Linked DNA regions of Drosophila melanogaster. The protein of the gene in region 2 interacts with the protein of the main gene of each other region in a pairwise test. Each region holds a gene or a part of one and is shown on either strand. Other genes may lie near its edges.

Region 1 (6,851 bases), on a different chromosome or scaffold from region 2:
GCTGGAACACGTCTAAAATTATAATTACGGTGTTGCACCTTTCGTGCTTTTAGTCTATGATCTTGAAGTCGAGGTTGGCCGCAGAGCATTTTGGCTGAGAAGCATATGGCCATTCATGTTTTAGCATCCACGTAATAGATTTGACGCCGCAGTTGTCTTGAAACTCATATTTCCAGTTTAAGGCCATGTTAAACGACTTAAATGGGCTGGCTAGTCGATAACACGGCCGTGTTTATTGTATTTTCATATGTATTGTATAATCCAGTGAAGAAGGAGGGTGGTGTACTTACAAGACTCCCGGCTCTCCTCGATGTCCAGGATGATGTTCGTCTGCCCCGTTTCCACTTCGCACATCTGCGACTTGCCCAAAACCGCCGAGCAGAGCAGGATTAGCAGCCCAAAGAAGCCCAGTCCCTGCTGTGGAGTGAGTGAGTTCCTAGCGGCCATGTTATCTGTAAAATAAGAGTAAACAAATACGTTTCTTGTACTCCATGCATGCATACATCTATCTATCTATCCAAGATCCCCATTTAAATATGTAGTACTTCTTGGCCTACGCTAGTGGAGCCCACACAGCGAATCTGGAGAGCGCCGCCGAGTGGAGCTCCAGACTGTGGTTGCTTTTGTATGCAAAGACGGCTGCTCTTGCCTTAAATGGTGTGATATCAATATGCAATAAACAATTTAGCCAACTTGGCGTTGTCCGCGCACGTTGTGTGTATATGGACTTGTGGAAATCCAAGATGCCCCGATCCGCAGCTCCAATCAATACCAACTTGGTGTCGAAACTGCTGGCCAAATTGAAAACAGCTTCAGCAGTTCCGTTCGAACCGATCTAGCTACTTGGCTGGGGCAATATTGACAGTGAGAAGTTCATAACGGTGGCATCATAAATTGGCTAATAAAGTGGCAAGCCAGCCCGCGGAGTACCCAGCGATCAGGTGCACATTCTGCCCATTTTTACCATTCTTCCCATTTCTATCGTCTTTCTCCCATTTCACTTATTTTGCCCATTTTGCCCACCTCATCTCATCGAGCGCCTAAATGGCCAGCTCGCCAACTGGCCGATCAACTTTTGCGGCTACGGCTGGCATACAGTTAGAACCAAGAGCTTGGGAGTTGGGAGCTGGGTGCTGGGAGTTGGCCATCCCATGCTGCGGCTTAGGTTTCTGCACATCCGTTGGCTTTCTAGCTTTCTGACTTTCTGCTCCATCTGCGATCTCCATTGAAGACTCGTTGGCACCAGGAGCCACTTGCATCGTATCCGTTACTCGGATCGTTTGTTTAATGAAACGGATCGGAGTTAATCTTCTGGTTTTCGCGCTCCCTCCTCGATCGCATCCATTGGATATAGATAGCACTGTCCAGAGCAGCCGGGTTCCGTTGTGCTGGTTAACCGAAACTCATAAAATAGGGGAATAAAGTGCGCGCTCTAATGAACAAAGCGAATTATTGAATTTCAACTATTGGCTGACAATTAAAATCCAAGCTGATGGATCTCTTATCCTTAGCCGCCACTGACAACTATTGTCTTCGATGGCCAATTGCAATTCGATTTACGCAATTAGCCAAATAAACCAATCAAAATACCCATGATTTCCCAACGATTTATTTAATTTCGCCAAAGTGTGCTGCAATCGCGAGTGGAATCAAACTTGTCTGCAAACGCAACTGCTGCTGAAATTATCTCCGAAATCATAAAAGCCCCGATCGCCCATTGCGTAACTTAAGTGCGAGATATCACATGGTATTGATATGGGGGCTTAAATGCTCCGTCGTGCCGTTCCTGCTTCCATTTGCGAGGAAATCGAGAAAATCGGGAAAATCGCGAAAAGCGCTGCAAGTCCTCCGCTTTCACTGGACGGTACACAAAATGCCATTTTCCATTTCCCCCGCATAAACAAAGGCGCGAAGCTGGAGGAGATCGGAGAAGGAGCAGGAGGAGCAGGAGCAGCCAGAGGAGGAGTTCGGCGGTGGCCACCACAGAAAGTCAGTTGCTGATTATGTTCAACCGGAAACTTATAGAAAAAGCCGAATGTGCCAAACTGGTTTGCAAAATAAACGAAAGCCGAGGTATCGCTTTGAATGCCTGTGTACTGTGTGTGTTGTGTGTGTTGTGTGTGTTGTGTGTGTTGTGTGCTGCTGGGTGCAGATTCGATATGCGGCAAACCTGTTGCTTATTGATGCTGTTTTTGCCAACATTTTCTAGTTTTGAATGTGGTACAATACGTAGCGAACTTAAATCTCAAATCTGCTGGAATGCGAACGATGGTTGCCACACAAATCTTAAATAAACAAGAAAGGAACGCCAGCATTTGGGCACCGAATGGCGGCATACCCTGGTCCACCTGGCCACTCGGCTCCCCTGGATGATCACTCGGATCACTTGGATCACCTGGATACATACATTCATGTATACACCATCGTTCTGTCAGCTCCAACTGCGATTGTTATGCTAATTCGCTGAGTGTTTTATTGTATTTTAATTTTATTGGACAGAGGACGCGCTCTTGGCCATACAAAGTATTTCTCCTCACGGATCCGTGAGATGTTTCATAATATATATCGAATTCTATCAGCATATAAAGTATCTCAATCTATGCCATTCATTTTGGCTGTCCATATATTTATGACTCCTGTGGGAGTAAATATATGATCGTCTTCAAAATGGCCATTTGTCGAGTTTAATGACTCAAAGTGCTTTAACATTCTAATCGTTCTAATGAACTCGACAAGTATCTTAGAGCCAATTTGCTGAGAATCATTTTTCCTGATGATTAATTTTAATGATTCGCCTTTTTATCGAGAACACGTCTAACGAAACTTAAGCAACTGCTGAGTAACATAAACATTCTACCATTATGATTGTCTTAATTGGCCAAAATAAGTTGAGTTTAGAATAATTAAAAACAAATCTTTGAATTTAGATGATGGCCAAAGACATTGAACTGCAAATTCTTGGGTGACAATAAAATTAATCGACCTGACTTTCCGCTGAAGAAAAAACGGTTAGGTGATTATGTTTTCTGCTTTATAAATGGCTTCTAGCCATTTAGCCAAATGAAGATTAATCTCCGCCGCCCGGAGAAAAGAACATTATTTCATCATTTTGCTTCTCCCCGCCTTTGGATGCTGAATAATTTAATAATAATAATACTAATAATACTCCGCACTTACCGTTTGGTCTAAAGATTAAATATTAAAGCAGCTCAAAGTATTTCAGCTGAGTATCCAACGTGAAAAATGGAGTCACACGCCGTTAACAAAGGTTATTCTTGGTCCTCAATTACATTTCGATTTACTATATTATTCAATAGATGTTGTATCTGCGCATTAAAAAACAGGGTTAAACTCGATTAAAAACACTCGCGACACAAATTTGAAGGTGTTGTAATACTTATTTTATGTATTTCTCTGTCATAAAATTCATATTGAATCCGAAGTTGATCATTTCGAAGTTGATGATCACCGGATCACCGGCTTGGAAGTGAGTTTTGCCGCACTGAAGTGAATTTTAATTACTGTTTGGAGGTTGCCCTCTTGGATTAATTATAAGCCATAATGTTTCGCGAAAAGCTGGCGAACAAAGCGGCGCGTGGGAGTTTGGTAGCATGTAGTAAAAGTAGCATGGCAAGTCGATGACTATCTACGTATGCCTGTACAGTGAACACGACTGTGTAAGTTTCTTACACAAATCTCGACATACGTGACCTCATTTGCCGTTTTTTTTTTGTTTTTTTTGGCTGTTTTATTGCTTGTTTCTTGGTTCTTGGCAAATGCCGCAGAAATCCCGGTCGATAAATGCGATTTGCTTAATACGGCGATCACGTTCACATTCCACATTAGTGTTCTATCCTTTGATATTCGGCAAAACGATGATGGTTTCGTTTGTTTTCTGTTTTCACTCCACTGTGAGTTGTGTTGGGTAAACAAAAAAACTGAAAAATTGGCAAGAGAAAGTCTTGCTCTCGGGGGTTAAAGTGGTGTGTACAAAGGTATGATTTTTAGATTTAATGATGGCGTGAAGGCTTTGTTTGCCTCTCGGGGCTTCTTTGTTATTTAAACGGAGCGCTATTTCGAGATATCTGCGTGGTATGCCCTTTTCAGGCTTCTATGGCTACAGCTTTAGGTTGCCTTGGATCCACCGGACACACCTCACACATCCACACATCACACGTCGCCACAAACGGACCATTCTGAACTTTACACATTTTCTTGAGAGATAACTCTTAAAAAATTAGCTCTTGGGCATATTCATACCAGCTCGAAAACCGGTATCGCGCCAGCCACCTTATAGCAATAGCGCTGCGTTGGGGCACAAGCTCATACTCGTCGTGCTACACTGCGCGAAAGTACGTGGTACGTGGTGTCGGCTCGGCGGTTGGATCGGTACTGTTTCGCTTTACCTGTCTCGCGCAGCAGCGGCAACAAGTGGGCGCTACCCGATCCAAGGTGGAACGTATTGGAATTGAGCTGGCATTCGCTCGCTTTGCGGTAAAACTGGTTTTTCGGGGGTTACTCGTTTGCCAGCTGATGGATACCACACCATACTCAAACACACACACACACACACACACACACATGCGAAAGGCTTCGGCTGTGGAGCACAGGTACTGCGATCCACGATCTGCAGGTGCATGTACATACACAGCTATGTACATATGTATATGTGTATGCTGCGCGGACAGAGAATCTCGAGCGGCTAACAGCGTCTGTTAAGTCAAAGGTAAATATGTAAGAGACCACCATGTTGCATTTTCATAGGAGTTGGAGCCGTGGATCGGGCTTAGAGTTAGCCAGCCAGGCCAGGAACCAGTTTTGGGGCTTCGGCTCGGCTTGTCGCTCGCTTTGTGTTTGCTTTTCTGTTTCAGCTGCACTGCAGCCGTTGCTGTGTAAGTTTTTATTAAAATGTTTTAGTCGATGTTGCCGCGATTTTGGCCGCTCACTCCACTCCACTGCAATCCACTGCAATCCACTGCAATGCAATGCAATCCGAGCTGCGATCCGGGGCATGAATGAAGTTCACCAAAGGGGCAGACAGCATTTTTGTACCTGTCAGGCGGGCAGGGAGTCGTCGCATATGCATATTCCGTTGCCATTGTACTGGGACAATGAGACAGTTGCACCCGGCTGGCTGGCAATCCGCGAAATTGGCATTGCCATCATGGGTAGGTGTTTCCATCGAACACCACCATCGAATACCACCATTTCCATTTCCAGCCGGATGCTGCCAGAACAATTGAGCCAATATCGTTATATTGGCATTGAAAGCTGCTCAGATCGATGGGATCAGCCAAATATGATAATTTGCGCAGATCTTGTTTCTCGAAATGTCAAAGCACCTAATTATAGCAAACATAGCATATTCATATGGCACACAAACTGTACGGTAAGATTAAGCCATGTGCTAAATGGCTATTAGCGGAGTATCTTCATGGTGCTAAACGCATGGGAGTCTGCCATCTTCATCACAACTGGCTGGAGGAGAAAGTGCAAGGGTTTTCAGCAGATGTACGTCATTAGCTCGTTTTACTGTTTGCTAACAAGCCAGTTGGCTGTTAGCTCCTCACCTGGCCAAATCCGCATCCCACTGGGTTGGGATTTAATTAAGGCTTAGCTTCTTTCGTTATTATAAAGAGGCAGTTTCTTGCTACATTTATTGGGGGTTCTTGGATTACCATAATGTCTGTGCTCTTCCGGCTTGGTCATCACTTTTACGATTCGAATGGCCCATTTTCGCGATAATTTGCCGATCGGCTTACATATGTCAAGTTCGAAAAAACAAAGTGCCAACTGTTTGAATTCGCTACTCTAACAGGAAGTTTTTGGATTATGAACAAGTTGGTTAGGAGGAGCTTGTAAGGTGTATTTCATTTTAGCCATTTATGCTGACATTTAACAAAAGTGTAGTTCAGTGACCCAAAGTTACACGCTGCTACTGGAGTTGTAGCCAAGACAGATTTGCTTGTGATTCTGCAAAATGTTTTTGGTAGTAGCAAGCTATATGCTGATATGCTCCATGAGTACCGGATATGAAGGTATCAAGCGAAATGTGTCAGCCAAAACTGTAAGGTTTCGCATTGACCATGCGCAAAAGCTCGAATTGCTGGTTGAGCCAGTTTAAAATCATTTTTGCCTTCCTGAGAATTTTCGATTGCACAAACGACAGGTGCAGCATAGGCAAAATAAATTGTGGTGCATAGCAAATATCGTTTCGAAAATGCTTTATTTCAGCCATATTACCAACAGACAGTTGCAGACTAGATTTTATTGGCTCCTGGCTTAACTTCTTTGAAGAAAAGTTAAGTGGGAAAAGCGCAACAAGTCAGTGAACGAGTAAAAAAACATGCAACCTGCTGGCTTTAAAAAATATTACGTTATCAGCGCAAAAAGCGAATGAACTAATAAAGGCAAATAATAAACCGCCTGGTTTCAAATTACTTCACTTTGGCAGAGCTCCACTTCTGCCCGTAAGCAGCTCAGTCTTATGATTGCAATTATAATTTATAATTTCTTTTATTGCCGCCAATTTCTTTTATGAAAGCCAAGTCCCAGTCCCAAACTGCATTGTTCTGCCCCTCACATGCTCTCGTTTTGTCTTTTGCCTGGCCGGGTAAATCATTCCTGGTCCGCTTAATTGCTCCACAAGTACTCCACTCTCCACACTGCATGCCGCATTCCTATTCCTGGCCAGCAGTTCCGAGCTGCAGCCCAGAGTCGCAGCAATTCGATTTGGGACCAATGCGCACCAAATAACCAAAAGATGCCTAGCTGCCGGACCGAACAATCACTTTGCCCAGATCAGTTTCGGCCAGGCCAGAACATATATACAATATATACATATATAAACA
Region 2 (7,191 bases):
AAATTGAAAGAATTCACAACTTGTCGCTGTCTTCGTTTGTGGTCCGTCGTCTTCTTTTTGTTGTTCTTGCTATCAAATCGCTTTCCTAGCTCGAGGTAAACGTCTTTCTTTCCTCGATTTGGCCAACACACTCCAGCCAACAGCCAGCAAAAGTGGCAACTCATTAACAACACAAAATCAACAGCGAATTAGTCATCAGGCTTAAATGCATTCATAAAACTCATACTTTCGATACTTCTTTTCTTCTTAAACTAAGGGAAAACAGCCCGATCCAAACGAATTGATACGTGACCGAAAATCCTATAAAAAAAGTAAATAAACCTTTACACCTTTAGACATGCAAAAAAGGCCATCCAACTATTTTCACTTTTTGAGCTTCGGTCGCTTCAAACAATCAGTTTTGGCCACAAGAACCAACCGAAAAAGAGGGTCTAACCGAAATCGAAGGTCTCAATGAGCTGCGTTTGTTATGCAAATTGCTTGGTTTTCATTGAAAAAATTTACTTTCATTACTTTGTACGGCCTGGCAGTAGCTAAACAATGTTTTCGATTTAAGGCGATAGAAAACTAAACCATCTTCAATTAGATATTTACGAAAAGAAATTAGAAATGTGTTGCGCCACTGACAGGTTATCGTTGGTGAAAATTCCACCTTTAAATATGATCTTTAGAACTAAAGAAAATAAACATTGCAATTATAGTAACCAGTTTTAGCACCGGATTACAAGTGAGCAAATGAGCGCTGATTACAGAGTCCGATTACAACCATAATTCTTTAGTTTAATCATTTAATCTAGAGAATTCCGGAAAAACTCATCTAATCAACATGTAGATCGGCTTTTTTAAGCGAACTACTTAATTTCCGAAACCAGTCATGAATCAGAGTTTCAAGCTGGCGTCATTTCCCAGTCGGTTGCCATCGAAGCCGCCTTTCAATTGGACACCCCATCCATCATTTAGCACATGGACTAACGGCTGCCTCCGCACAGGTATAGTATAGTGTGGCATGGTATCAGCCGTAGTGTAGTTACTCATTGGGAGGCGTCTCTCCTCTCCACGGTAATTGCAACATGCCAGACAAAAAAAAAAATAAAGCAGCAACAGCTACGGAGCAACCAAATTTAGTGGCACACGGCGGCACGTATACTCGTACACATACCAGTCTGGTTACGCTCTGCCGGTCAAAATACGAGTCTAGTGCACATAGGGAACCCATCTATCCGCGATCCACACTCGAACCACAACCATATAGCGACCTCAATTGTCGGCTGGAGTTCAAACATTTAACTAAGACATACATACATGTATTAAGTAATATTGCTCAATACTCGTTGTCCTGTTATCAGCACCCAATTTAATAGTTTAATGCCCTCATTGTCATCTAAATCCCCTCTTTCCGCAAGTACTTAACTGTAGAACGCGGAAAAGGTTTCATTTATTGGGAACTCTATTTGTATCTTAAGGATTGCTTTTTAGGTAAACGTATCTATATTCGTATTTTAATCTTTTTTTGGTACTCAATCCACAACTGTTTTCAAATTGAAGAGAGCACTTAGACTAAGCACAGTCATGACTGAATTATTTAAAAACGATTGCCTAATTGCCGTACCTGCTGTTATCAGAATTTCCCTGCAGTGCAAGTAGCGATAAGAAGCGAAACATCAAACAAGGTGTAAATCGAGGTGTGAGGCAGACATTTGTATCTCTGGGCATGACCAAAAACGATTAAAAAACTTATAGAATCGAGCAAAGAGCGTCTAAGAATTTCCGGCTCTGCAGATTTAGCATCGAATGGTAGTGATAGTGGACTCAGTGACGAACGATTGGCACGTATCTAAGTGCATATATATGGTAACCATATGTATGTATATGTACTGCATGTATATATGTCTATAAGTAAGAGAGTGCGTTTTTAGTGAGTGATCCAAAAGTTCATCGAGAGTCATTAGTGAAAGTTCGTGTGTGGCAGCCACGTACAATTACGGTTTATGCCATCTACTCTACACTACATACAGACACTCGGCCATATATTATCTATAAACATATGTACATATAAAAGTATGTATGGCGTTCATACCAATTGTTTAATACAACCACTTTTTGTTCACTTTGACTTTGACACTTGACATCATGTTGTTGTCATCTTTGAGCAATTTGTGGCATAAAAACATTTCCTATCTGAAAAATTCATATTCGTCTTATTTTACAAAAAATGCAATAATAATCCTATAAGGTTTCACTTTACTTATACGTTAATTGGAGCACTTTAGTTAAACCCATATTGTTTTATTGGTCACTTGAATTATAGCTCTCAAGATAATATGGCTAATAATAAATCCGTAGTAAAGTCTATGGAATGCGAACGATTCTTAAATTTAAGAGCAAATGCACTTTTTCAATTCATTTGAACATTTATAATATTACTTATTTTACAAAAATATTGATTATATGTTGCCTTTAGACCTTTTCAAATTTAAATTATAAAGTGTTTGTTATTAATGTGAACTTGTAAATGATTTAAATTTAAAAAACACCGTTAGTTGTAGAATTTTTTTTTAACTTTTTCCATAATTACTAGCATTGCTAACAAAATTCTTTTTCGCAAAACTTCGTTTGTTGTTCACACAATTTGCTTCTGGTTTAACAACTGAAATCTTCTACAAAATTTAACGACTCACCAGCGACAACAACAAAAATAAAAAATGGGCAAAGTATTATGTTCATTTTTTTTTTATTATGTATTTAGAGAAGACCTTAAAAAAGTTTCACCAAACAAACAGAAAGTCGCTGCGTGCGCGAAAGCCCCCAGCAACAACAAAAACAAAAACAGCCCAACAACCCAAATGGAAACGCAAAAAAAAGGTTGAGATGGGAGAGAAGAAACAAAAACCGGCTAATGAAAAGCGTTTATTTGAAAAAGGGTTTTCCAATTGTCCACACACGAAATGTCCCGTTGTGCAACAGCAAAAACAACAAACCGGACAAACAAGTGTGCCTGCGTTTTTGTTGTTATTGTCAATTTCAGAACTCTTGACCGCTGAACTGCAAGAAAAAGCAGACGCTTCATGATCGATTTGTATTTATGCAAATTTATGTAAATGGGATATACAAATATTTAACTTGAATGTTTGAAATTTATAAACAATTAATGATAGTACACTCTGATTAGATTAGATTTACACAGTAAAAGTATTTCATATATGTATATTTTTCATAATCATAATGATAGATTATAAAAAAAAACGTTTTCAACTGATTAATAAAACACACTTAGTCACTGTTTTAAGGTTTACGCACGTAATTCCATAAAAGACTATTCAAATCATTTTAAATTGACATCGTTTATTTCTCAGTGTGGAAGCCTGGTTCAAGCTCAAGGAGAATGAGAGGGAGAGAGCGCACTGTCGAGAGCGGGTGGGAAAGGTACGTGGCAGAGGGGGAGACGGTAGCAGCACCCTTGAATGTGTTGCACTGTGAGCCGCTCTTTACGCATCTCTCCCTCTCGCTCGCTCTGCAGCTCCTCGGCAGGTGTACCTGTCCGTGTGTGCGTGCGAGAGAGCGGGGCTGCGCTTGTAGTGTGCATGTTAGTACCGTTCTAGCCAACGAAACCTGAAGCGTAGCTATTTAATTTGGTCACTCGCCTAAAGCAATAAAAATGCAATGCAGCCACGTCTCCGTCTGGAAATGCAATAAAATCGATGATGTTACACTGAACCGATGCTGTGACCCTTGTCATTTTCCCCACTGGCTTTTCTAGCCACAAACAGACACACATTTACACAGACCGCTTGGCAGGGTTAATGCACTCTTTTCTTTTAGTTTCGTTTCATTTCTTTTCTTTTTTCCAATCACTCTCTACCTTAATTGCCGCCTCAGAATTTTGCACTCTCCGCTTTTCGGTCACCGAATTCGAATTCTAATTGGAATCGCTCTCGCCACGACCGTTTAATTAACACTTTTCCAGACCCGTCGAAAGCGGGATGTTCTTTTTCAAAAACAGGTTACATAAATAGGTCACGCACCAGCAGTCGCAGGAATAGAGCAGCGCGCCGAAAGTCCGCTTTTCCAGCACAGTTAAGCCGAGCAACAGGTGGATTACAGACCACTGATCATTTTGGGGCTGTGCGATTTGTTTATTGTTTTTCTTTTCGCCGAGAAGACAAGACTTGAAGCGAAAAATAACAACCGATAAACTGATCAATAAGAGTGACCAGGTGGTGGGGCCAGTTGCGAATGGCCTAAAAAATGCGCGGATTACTAATCGTGGTATGCTAACGAGTTAACATTACAGTTCATTTGAAAACCGCTTATATGGTCACATTGCCGCGTAAGCAGTCCGATCGATAGACTTCCGATAGCATCGATAAAAATAAGCATTACTTACCCAAATTTATCGACCTGCCTAATTTCGGCGCGCATTTCAAAATATCTGTCATAAGCTATTGCATTTTTCAAGAAATATCTTTTTTCTATGTCAATATATTAAACATGTCGTCATATTAGCTCATTGAAGCGGTTTGTTGATTACCTAATTATTTATACGAACTGCGATAAGTAGTAATTAAAATCTAATTATGCCCCATCAGTAATTATATTTTTGGAAACCAGTACTCCACCATCGCGTAGAGTGGTCATTACATCCAGACTATTTGCCCTGATGAAGTACCTCTTGTGGATCAGCTTACTTTTCATTGGAGAATCCCATGGATACGTGCGCCTCACGAACCTCAAGTGCGAAAGCTATGACAAATCATTCGTCGTCTTTCCCGAATGCCGACTAAAAGTGCTTGGCAGGGGAATTATCGGAGCCAACATACACGTTAAGCTTCTGAAACTGCCAATAAATAGGATGGTCGTGAGATTCATCACTTACCGGAAGCTAAACGGATACCATCCGTTTCTATTTAATGTTTCCGAGGAACACTGTCGCGTCCTAAGGTATCCAAATCGTCTCAGAGTCTTCTACTATTTCTACACCGCCTTTATGCCCTTTTCCAATATTAATCATACATGTCCCTATAATGTAAGTATTTAGTTTCGCCAATATGACAATCATATTAAATCATATTAAAATATATATTTTAAGGATGATATTTACATAAGGAACTGCACCTTGGATGATCGTATGTTTGCCAAGGTCCCATTACCAAAGGGTAGCTATAAGTTAACCCTCGAAATGGATGATGGTGTCGTGAACTGGATTTCCATCATAAACATCCACTTTGAAATTGACGTTGACTAAGATGAACAAAACATTAGAACACCTAATGGATCTAACACAACGAACACATATTTATTTTGCGTTAATGTTTTAATTATTCCTATGCCCGCTATATGATATAGTTGTCCGATCTGGCCCGTTCCGACTTCTATACTTAATGCAATACAAAGTTCGTTAATGCAAATTGCTTTAAAACTGACTAATTACATCGGTTGTTAATACTCTTCGAGAATACATACACAATATGGCGTCTTATTTACTTCTCTGCTAGATCATTCTGAGTTATATTTATAATGTATTCATATTTACTTTGCTCAATGCTCAATTTATCGCCCCGCTGTGTTATCGGCGAGTTATCAGCAGCGTGGTCGTTATCACCGGCGTTTTTAAAAAACTGATTGCGGCAACAAGACGTCTCCGTTTTATCAATAGTTAATGTTTATTGAAATTTCTTTTCTCTCGTTTAAGGTTTAGGTGGTCAGAGTAAACGCCTCCGCAGTTGGGCAGCAGATACAAAATGTTTTCTCGCGTGTCGTGTCTTTACAATGTTTCATTTAAGAATATGAAGGATGTGTGGTGTGTGCTCATTTGGGATTGATTTATATTTTGGAACAATTTTGGGAGTTAGCAGAACTTCCATCGGTTGCCGCACTCGTTGCACATGACGAAGGTGGTCATAGGTTCATCGGCGGAACGAGTCTGCAGCTGGTTGTAGGTGCAGTTGCGCTTCTTGCACTTGGCGCACTTGAGGAGATCGGTCTTGGTGCCCTGCACGGTGGCCAGCTGGGCATCGTTGATGGCCTCCTTGACGAACTTCTCGCGCAGCTTCTTCATCTCATCGCTGGCCATCTCCTCCGGCGTCATTTTGGCCAGCTGCTTGGCAGTGACGGCGCCGCACATAAAGTTGCCTCGCAATCCAGGATTTTTGGGGTCCTTCAGATTGGCCACGCGTGACCTAATGCGATTCTTGTACTTCATATCCGTGTTATTGAACTCGGAGTAAATGGCATCCTCCAGTTCGGCGGCCATTTCCTCCGGCTCACCGCATCCTTCGGGCACTTCACCAATCTTCAGTGCGGTGGCCAGCATTTCGCGGCATTTGATGCGGACCGCATCTGTCATGCCGCCGGAGGGAAACGAGGTCTGTGACGAGGATGTCGAGCCTTTCTTCTCTTTATCCTTGGATGAGCTGGATGAACTGGACTTATCCTTGCCGGAGATTGACGACGACGACTTGGCGGCACTGGTGGACTTCGAGGCACTGCTGTTGTTGGAGGAGCCCTCCTTAGCGGAGCTGTTGTTCGGTGTGGTTGGCGCCGGGCTGGCGAGGAATCGTTTCCAGTTCTTGATCAGCGTCTTGGCCAGAGCGATCACCTCGTCGTCCTTGCTACTCTTGCGCAGCTCGTTTACGGTCATGCCGATGCGCGTTTTGGTCAGAATGTCGAGATTGATGTTAAGCGTTTGCAGGGCCTTCAGCAGGTCCAGAGCCTGATCCTGTCCCTGTACGGTGGATATATGTATATTTGTGACATGATGCGCGGCACGTTAGCTAATCCCGATACTTACTGTGCCGTCGCTGGCCATCTTGCTCATCTTCTTTTGGATTCGAAACACTTCCTCCTCCACGCTCATTTTGGCCCACTTAATTTGATCAGAGGTTAGGTTAACTGGCGTCGGCTGTCGGCTTTAATCGGTGCTGCGGGTCTGCGACAGTTGTTTATGCGGAAGCCGGGCTATTTCTTTTTTTCCCTCCAATAAATGTTGTTTACTATTTTTTTCGTTTCTGTATTCGCAGAACGAGTTGACAGAACACCCTAACGCGTTTTAGTGTTACCGGGCGGTGGCTTGTCAAGAAATGCCTTCCCATGGCTAATACAATTCCCAACTGGAAGTAGTTTGGGTTTCAGAAGTCAACAGTGTTACCGTATTTTAATGTACATCTGGCTTTTAAGCGAGTACACACACATAGC
Region 3 (7,164 bases), on a different chromosome or scaffold from region 2:
TTCTCGTTTTCGTTACCTAGCCATCGCTATTGCCACACCATCACCCACCACCCACCGCCCAACGCCCAGCTCACACCGCACCACCAACCCTTGTGGCATGTCTAATTTTCCAGAGGTTAACATACTTAACTTGTTGGCATGCGTTGCAAATGCGCCAAGGCTGCGTTGCACCAAGCGGCGCCACATTGCGACAATTCGCTGCGGCAAAGGAAATCGTACGGCAGCTGGAAAATGGGCAAAATCGCCGTCCAATGGTGTCCAGTGGCCAACTGTCCAATGGGCAATGTGAAATCCCAGTGGAATGGTCAAACGTTCCGCATTGTAATTGCACACACACACGCATTCGCTGGTTTGCCGATTTGTGGACATTATCTTTAGCACAAATAACAAATGTATTATATGTGAATGATTCCATTTTCTAGGGATTAAGCTAATGTAAATTAAAACATCATTTTCGAGAGCTAAATAAAAATGCTGTTTTAAATATCAGGCATAGATAAGGCAACGTTGCGTATGCGTAATTTTCCATAGGCAACTATGCGTATGAGTAATTTAAAATGATTTTGGCGGATCAGGAATTTGTTTGGTATTTTTTTTTTCAATTATAGGGTTAACAATTCATTTAACTGATTGATAAATAGTTTAATTAGTATAATTACAGCCTAAAATAACTATTCATTTCTAATTCTTATTTTGGCAAGCACTAAAATTTCTTATTCATACAAAATATTTATAATATACACCACTGCATTCACTATACAAATTGAAAGTTTTGATAAGCTCGAAAAGAATTCAAGGGAGTAAATTTGTTGACTTTTTGCCGATTGAGTCATAAAATCCCAGCTAATTCATAGCACTCTTCCACAATTTTCATATTTATTCCATAAGCATTTGAAAACCTCTTATAAGCGTGGTTTTAAAAATATACATATGTTTTTATACTCACATCAGTAATTCGTTTGTAACAAAGTCTACAATTCGGCCAAATTCAAACTCTACGTGATCAGAGTCCAATTCCAAAGTCACCGCCATGGCCAAACGCGATATCCTGCCCATCTTTCCATCCCGCGCCAATTCGGTGATCATGAAGCAGCGCGTTTTGGCGGCTAGAAGGGGCGTGGGTCTCCTCAAGCGGAAGCGGGACGCCATCGATATGAAGCTACGCGAATTGCGTCGCATCCGCTTCGACCAGGACATGCACGGCGATGAGGCGATGCGCAATGCCATATTCTCGATGGCAAAGGCCAATCTTCTGGGCGCCGATTTCAAGCCGCAGATGGTAAGCCGCAGCCACGTGGCAACCGTATCGCTACGCCGCACGGAGATCAAAATTGTGGGCGTCAAGCTGAACACCCTGGAGCTGGAGACGAAGGGCGTGGGCGCTTTTCCGCTGGCTGGTCTCAGCTGTGGCGGTATGCAAGTGAGCCGAATCAGGGACTCCTATACGAAGGCACTCAAGGCACTGGTGGAGTTCGCCTCTCTGGAATACCAAGTGCGAATGCTGGAGGCAGCCTCGTTGCAGACCAACATGAGGGTCAATGCTCTGGAGCATGTGGTAATTATAATTAATTCATATGATCCATATGTTATCATGGATAATCTTCAATAAATATCACTTTGTATCCGCAAGGTAATACCCATCCTGCAAAATACCTATAACTATATATGCGGCGAGTTGGAGGAGTTCGAGCGCGAGGATTTCTATCGCCTGAAACGCTCCCAGGCGAAGCAGCTGGAGGCCAAGATGGCCTTCACCGAGCTGATCAAGACCAAGAACATGACCGACGAGGAGCTGGAGACCTACATAAAGCGAAACATAAATCAGACGCGTCCTCCAGCGGCCGACACACCCTTCGATCAGGAGCAGTTCGAGGAGCGTGAGGTGAAGCGGCGCATGCGGGAGGCCCGTCTGTCCCTAAAGCAGCGCCGCGAGCAGGAGAGAAAGGAGGCCATCAAGCGGGGCGAGCCCCCACCGCCCACATCCTTCATCACCACCCACGGAGCCTCGTTGAGTTTCGCTGGTCGCCAGCGGGATCCGCGAGCCAGCAGTGGTGATCTGTACAGCACCAAGCGGATGCTCCTCTCCTCCGGACCGGAAAGGAAGTCCGCCAGTAATGTGACCGAAAGGAAGTCCGATACTCCTCCGCGTAATAGCCAGGAAACTCAGCGCAGATCCAGCCAGATGTCGAAAGATGTCGTAAATGAAGATCCACCCGAAGAAAGTTAGTTAATCGGACTCACAAATCCAAAATCTAAAGTTGTCCAAAAATTCTTAATTATTTTTAATATGGTGTGCAAATAGAAGATTTATTTTAGGTGATCACTTCGAAAAAGTATAGCAATTTCAGTCGAAAATCGAAAAATATATGGAAAAATTTACCGTCATTGTTATTAATAACGTATACGTATGTAATTTCTGTCTGCTGTATAATATACATGTGTATGTGTGTATGTTAATTCCCCATCATATGCAATGGCAAATGCTATATGTTTGCAACAGCTGACTTTACAGTTCGTTTTTTTTTAACATCGAATGTTAGTTTAACATTTACGTTAACATTTATCCGTTAAGAATAAAATTTGCAACATTTTGAAGTATATTTTTGTCAATTAAAATTTGAACTTAAAAATCGAAGAACTGTTTACATAAACATAAATCACAACCGGTAATTAGAATAAACGGACAATAAAAAAGACATTTGTTTATATAGATGTACATATGTGAGTACATACATAGTTGATTCATTTTTTTCTATTACTGCAAGGGCAAACCTATGCATAAGTTTATTTTTGCAGAAGCTAGCTTCCTATTATTTATAACTTTAGTTACCTGTAGTATGTTGATACAATTTTTGTACACACCTATTTTCGCGAAAAGCGCCGGCGCGACCGTTACAACGGCGAAATCAAACTTATTTTCGCTTTACGAAGGTGAGTGGATAAGCAACAGAAACAAACACATGCAGACGCTGCCGCTGCAAAAGCGAACTTACCCGGTTCGTTCTCGCGAGAGCGAGAGCGGTTATTGCTATTGCTGCTGGCAAAATAAAACCGTATATATGGCGACGCAGCGCTATTTTGAACACAAAGTTTTGAGTCGTCGACCGTTGCGGACGGAAATTCAGATTAGGATCGTGAGTTGTCAGAACAAACAGACCAGACATTGCATATAGAGAGCAGTATTGGGCCAACAAAAAAAAAAAAAAAATACAAAAAAAGCGAAAAGAGCCCACACCCAAGCACCAGGAGCTGCGAACGTTTCGCGGAAAAGCCAATTTCTCAGCGCCAGCCAAAAATCAAGAAAACCAACGAGCAAAAAATTAAACAAATATCTTTATAAAAACCGAATTCGAGCAACTCTTATATGTATTAGCTCTCCCCGCCATATATCTACTATATAAACGAGAATTCTGCCGTGTGCGCGCGTGTGTTTGGCATATTTCGCACAATAGATGAAAAAAAAAACGAATGAAAGCCACAAAAAAATAAAGAAGAAACGCAAGGCGAAAATTTGTATTAAATTCGGCTGAAGCAACAACACTAAAGAAATTTCAGAAACTGCCACGGCGAGAAAAAAAAGCGTCGGCGTCGGTGCTTTGGACGGACGCTTTTCTTTCTCTCCAAGCTGGCAGTAGTTTTTCTCCTCAGCCTCTTCCACCTCCAGTTGACCCCCCGAAAGTAATACCCAACAAACCTCTTCTTGCTTCTTTTGCAGTGTGTTAATTTAGTAAAATATAAAGTTAACCGCGCGTTCCGTAATTCCACTCACACACATACCAACACCCAAGCAGCAGCAGTAGCCGCAGCGGATTAAAACTTCGTCACTCTAGCAACAAACAGAAAAAAAAAACACCTACAAAAATGGTAAGTTTATGGGGCTGGAGAACATGTGCATCTTTATTTTCTGTTTACACAACCTGCGGCCATCATTTTCCATTGAAATTTCCACAGTTTTTGCGAAAAATCAAAGTCAGACAGCGACCCCCAGGGCTATTGCCATTAGTGCGAGCGGGAGGAGCGAATCGCTTCCAATTAGACGTTGTTTATATGGTTTTAACGGCTTTTCACACACACACACTCGCTACACACATCCCAGCACACCAAACACCCCGTCGAAAAGCAGCTGTCCCCGGGAAATTCGTTTACATTTTGCACCCCAAAAATATATCGCCTCACGGGTAGAAAAAACCAGTTTTTTCAACAACCCAATATCGTTGATTTAGAAACAAGAAATTGCGAACACCATGCAACCCCTTGAAAATATGGTAGTTTATACCCCTTTCACAATGAAACATAATCAAAATCCATAAAACTGCATTGAGAAAAAGTGAATGCAATCATTTGAAATTAAGTTTATACTTAAACTAGTATATTTAAGCTGCAAGATTTTCATGTTCTTAACCTGACTTAATCAAATGTTCAACTTTGGCCCCTAGGGTCACAGAAAACAAGCAGCACAATTAAATAGCAATGCCAATAGCAAGAATTTACACACATGTCACGTCACTCGTCAAAATTATTATTTATTTTATCAAGGCTGTCGCACACGGAATGTTGACGCGATCGGGTTCGCCCTATAATAATTCCATGACGTTCGGGTAGAAATACCCCTGGAAACCCAATCAGGCGTGGAAAAGTGGAAACTCTTATCAGCATCTCGAGCAACACCTCATTTTCGAAGCCCCCCTGCTTGCCCAACCCACCACCACCATTTGGGATCATAAATCAATGTGATTTTAGCCAATTTGTTGAGCATTTATGCACACACACACTCGCATTCCTACATAGACGCGTTGCCATCGGCACTTTTATCAGCAATTTTTCAAAGATCCCCGCAAATAATAGAAAAGCGCCCTCCATTTTGCTTATCAGTGGAAAATGTGTGAATATATATTGATGATGAACAACAAAGTCGCCGGTCCCGGCATTATTGGCCTCTCCTCTTTGCCCCGCCGTTCGTTGTTCGCTTGTTCTTTGCTTTCTGGTTGTATTTTTTATTTACCGCACACTTGGCCGCAAAAATTGAGGTTAGACACGGCCCCATGGAAATGGTGAAAAAATTCTTTAGAGGCATTTCTCCTGCTCTTGCGCTCAGCTTAACCGTTTCGACGCTCTCTCGCATAACCGTTTCACACACTTTCTCGTCTCTCTCTATGTGCAATTATTTCGTTTGCGTTATCAGTTCCGTTTTGTGCTGCGTCTCTCTCTTTCCGTTTCTTTCAGCATTTCATTTTTTTTTGCGCCTTGCGCTTGTCACTTTTATCGGCGCCTGCCTTTTCTTGTTTTCTTCCATAACCGTTTCATTTGCCGCATTGCGGTTATTTTGCTGTTTCGCCTTCGCCTTGGTTCGTCCGCTTCGGTCGTTCATTCGTTCGGCTCCGCGTATTCGTATTCGTGTGCGTGTGAGTGAGCGTATGGGTGTGTGTGTTGGCGGCTGCCTGTTCCACTTTGCCTTTTCGCGCAAGAATTTTATTGTAACGGCACAGGCGAACGATGGGGGAGGAGGAGCGCTGCAAATGAAGAAAAATTCCTGCTAGACGCCGCCGCTTAACCACATAATCCAATTTTCTTGCCGCCCTCTTTGCGCTTTCTTCTCTCGTTCGTTTGCTTTCCTCTGCGCTTTTTGATAAGAAAGCCCCACGCCCACTGCGATGCCCACACCCGCGCCACACCTTCTTTCAGCCTCATCTGGTGTCGCCTAATTTAATTAGCGATTTTACAGCTCACGCAGAATGCAAACAGCTTTTAATTAAAATATATCGCATCGCTTTCTACGTGGCCAATTTGTTTCAGTGATTCAACCAACGCTGCTAACTTGGCCCAGAAGCAAACATTTGCCAAGGGTTTTACTGACTGATCTTCAAAGTTTGTTGATCTTTAGCTCGGCTAATTATGAGATACGTTTGTCTGTATATCTTATTTGTTTCCGTTGAAAATGAGCCAACATTCATATAAATTTCCATGAGTCACTGTGTTCCTGGGCTGACTTCATCATATGATCATATGGCCTATGATGAATGCCCGATGATATGTGTGTGTGTCATGTTAATAATGGCAAATGACTGGCTTATGGCTCAGTTAGCACAGTTGTTTGGATCCCGGTGCGAATGCACTTAAATTGTACCCAAAAACCAAGCTCTCAATCTAACCGTCATTCATAAAACCAAACTAAACTCCATGAAACCGGTTGAGACCGGCAAAAAAAAAAAAGCGTCGGCTATACAACGGTAAACCCGGCAAACTTGGCTTTAACATAAAGCCGCATAATTTCAGCCAAGACCTGTTTTAATGTTGTATTTAACTGTCAAACTCATTGGAAGAAATAGTTTTATTCAGCAGAACTCGTTTGTGAATTTATAAATGATTCAAGCCCAAGTGTATTAAAATTATTGTTATCAAAATGTATTCATAAGTATGAATAATATTTGATATCATATTATTTGCAAGTGAAAAGTGATGATCTTGAACTAACTACTATACAATGACCCATCCAATGAGTCACTACCTTAAAAAATGACGGACAAATCCCGATAAATATACGCACAGCTTGAGTCCTGATCCCCCAGGCATACATTTTCGGAAGGCACTGTATTTGCCTTGGATGTGGAAGCTTCCTCGGGACGTCGTGGGCGTCTGATTGTGCATACAAATGGATTACCAATTAGGCATTAGCCAGCCCCCCACTCGATTAACGACCTCGCCCGATTGACTGCCATTAATGGATATCATCGGTGGGTGGGGTTTTGCTCATGTTGTTGATTGCAAATGTCGCCATTTGAAGACAGGAGGGCTTCAATTTGCTTTTCAACAGATTGGGGATCTGCATTTCGATGGGTGTTTCTCATTCGGTTTCTGTTTCTGGCTTAGTCATGCTTGCCAATGACATAACCCAGTTGAAAAGCGTTTTATCTGCCCCAGAGTACGCCAAGATAAGCTGGGCAAATTCAATTGAACGCCAACGCGACAAAAAGTGCAAATAAAACAGGTGCCACCAACGCGTTGCCGTTACCAAATTTGCTTGTATTCGCTGTTTAAACTCACCGAAATTCCCCCGATTAGATAAGGTCAAGCAGGGCGCTATAATTCCAATGCCAATTGCTGATTTGGCTTAAAGCGAGTGGGTTTCTGTTCTGTTCCATTTTCCTTGCCGAACGGAAGTTGTCC

Evidence for each region.
Region 1: the proteins of ck (region 2) and Cad99C interact in binary tests that used the Drosophila melanogaster proteins (3 or more experiments, as listed by UniProt).
Region 3: the proteins of ck (region 2) and Cam interact in binary tests that used the Drosophila melanogaster proteins (3 or more experiments, as listed by UniProt).

The regions. Positions count from the first base shown.
Region 1 is NT_033777.3:29,839,200-29,846,050, reverse strand, and holds the start of Cad99C (cadherin 99C), read right to left. Parts: upstream 4,395-6,851; 5' UTR 4,261-4,394; intron 3,327-4,260; exon of another isoform or gene 3,178-3,326; intron 453-3,177; 5' UTR 448-452; coding exon 291-447; intron 1-290. UniProt on the Drosophila melanogaster protein: Cadherin that functions in epithelial morphogenesis and the intestine epithelial immune response. Essential for female fertility. Regulates the length and organization of apical microvilli in developing follicle cells and salivary glands.
Region 2 is NT_033779.5:15,053,646-15,060,836, forward strand, and holds the start of ck (crinkled), read right to left. Parts: upstream 4,218-7,191; 5' UTR 4,023-4,217; exon of another isoform or gene 3,860-4,022; intron 1-3,859. Other genes in the region: CG33679 (uncharacterized protein), read left to right, coding at 4,658-5,023, 5,087-5,242; TfIIS (RNA polymerase II elongation factor), read right to left, coding at 5,846-6,721, 6,788-6,853. UniProt on the Drosophila melanogaster protein: Myosins are actin-based motor molecules with ATPase activity. Unconventional myosins serve in intracellular movements: can function in cells as a single-molecule cargo transporter.
Region 3 is NT_033778.4:12,256,325-12,263,488, forward strand, and holds the start of Cam (calmodulin), read left to right. Parts: upstream 1-3,073; 5' UTR 3,074-3,134; intron 3,135-3,707; exon of another isoform or gene 3,708-3,715; 5' UTR 3,716-3,861; coding exon 3,862-3,864; intron 3,865-3,951; exon of another isoform or gene 3,952-4,489; intron 4,490-7,164. Other genes in the region: Vha36-2 (vacuolar H[+] ATPase 36kD subunit 2), read left to right, coding at 1,031-1,555, 1,631-2,227. UniProt on the Drosophila melanogaster protein: Calmodulin mediates the control of a large number of enzymes, ion channels and other proteins by Ca(2+). Among the enzymes to be stimulated by the calmodulin-Ca(2+) complex are a number of protein kinases and phosphatases.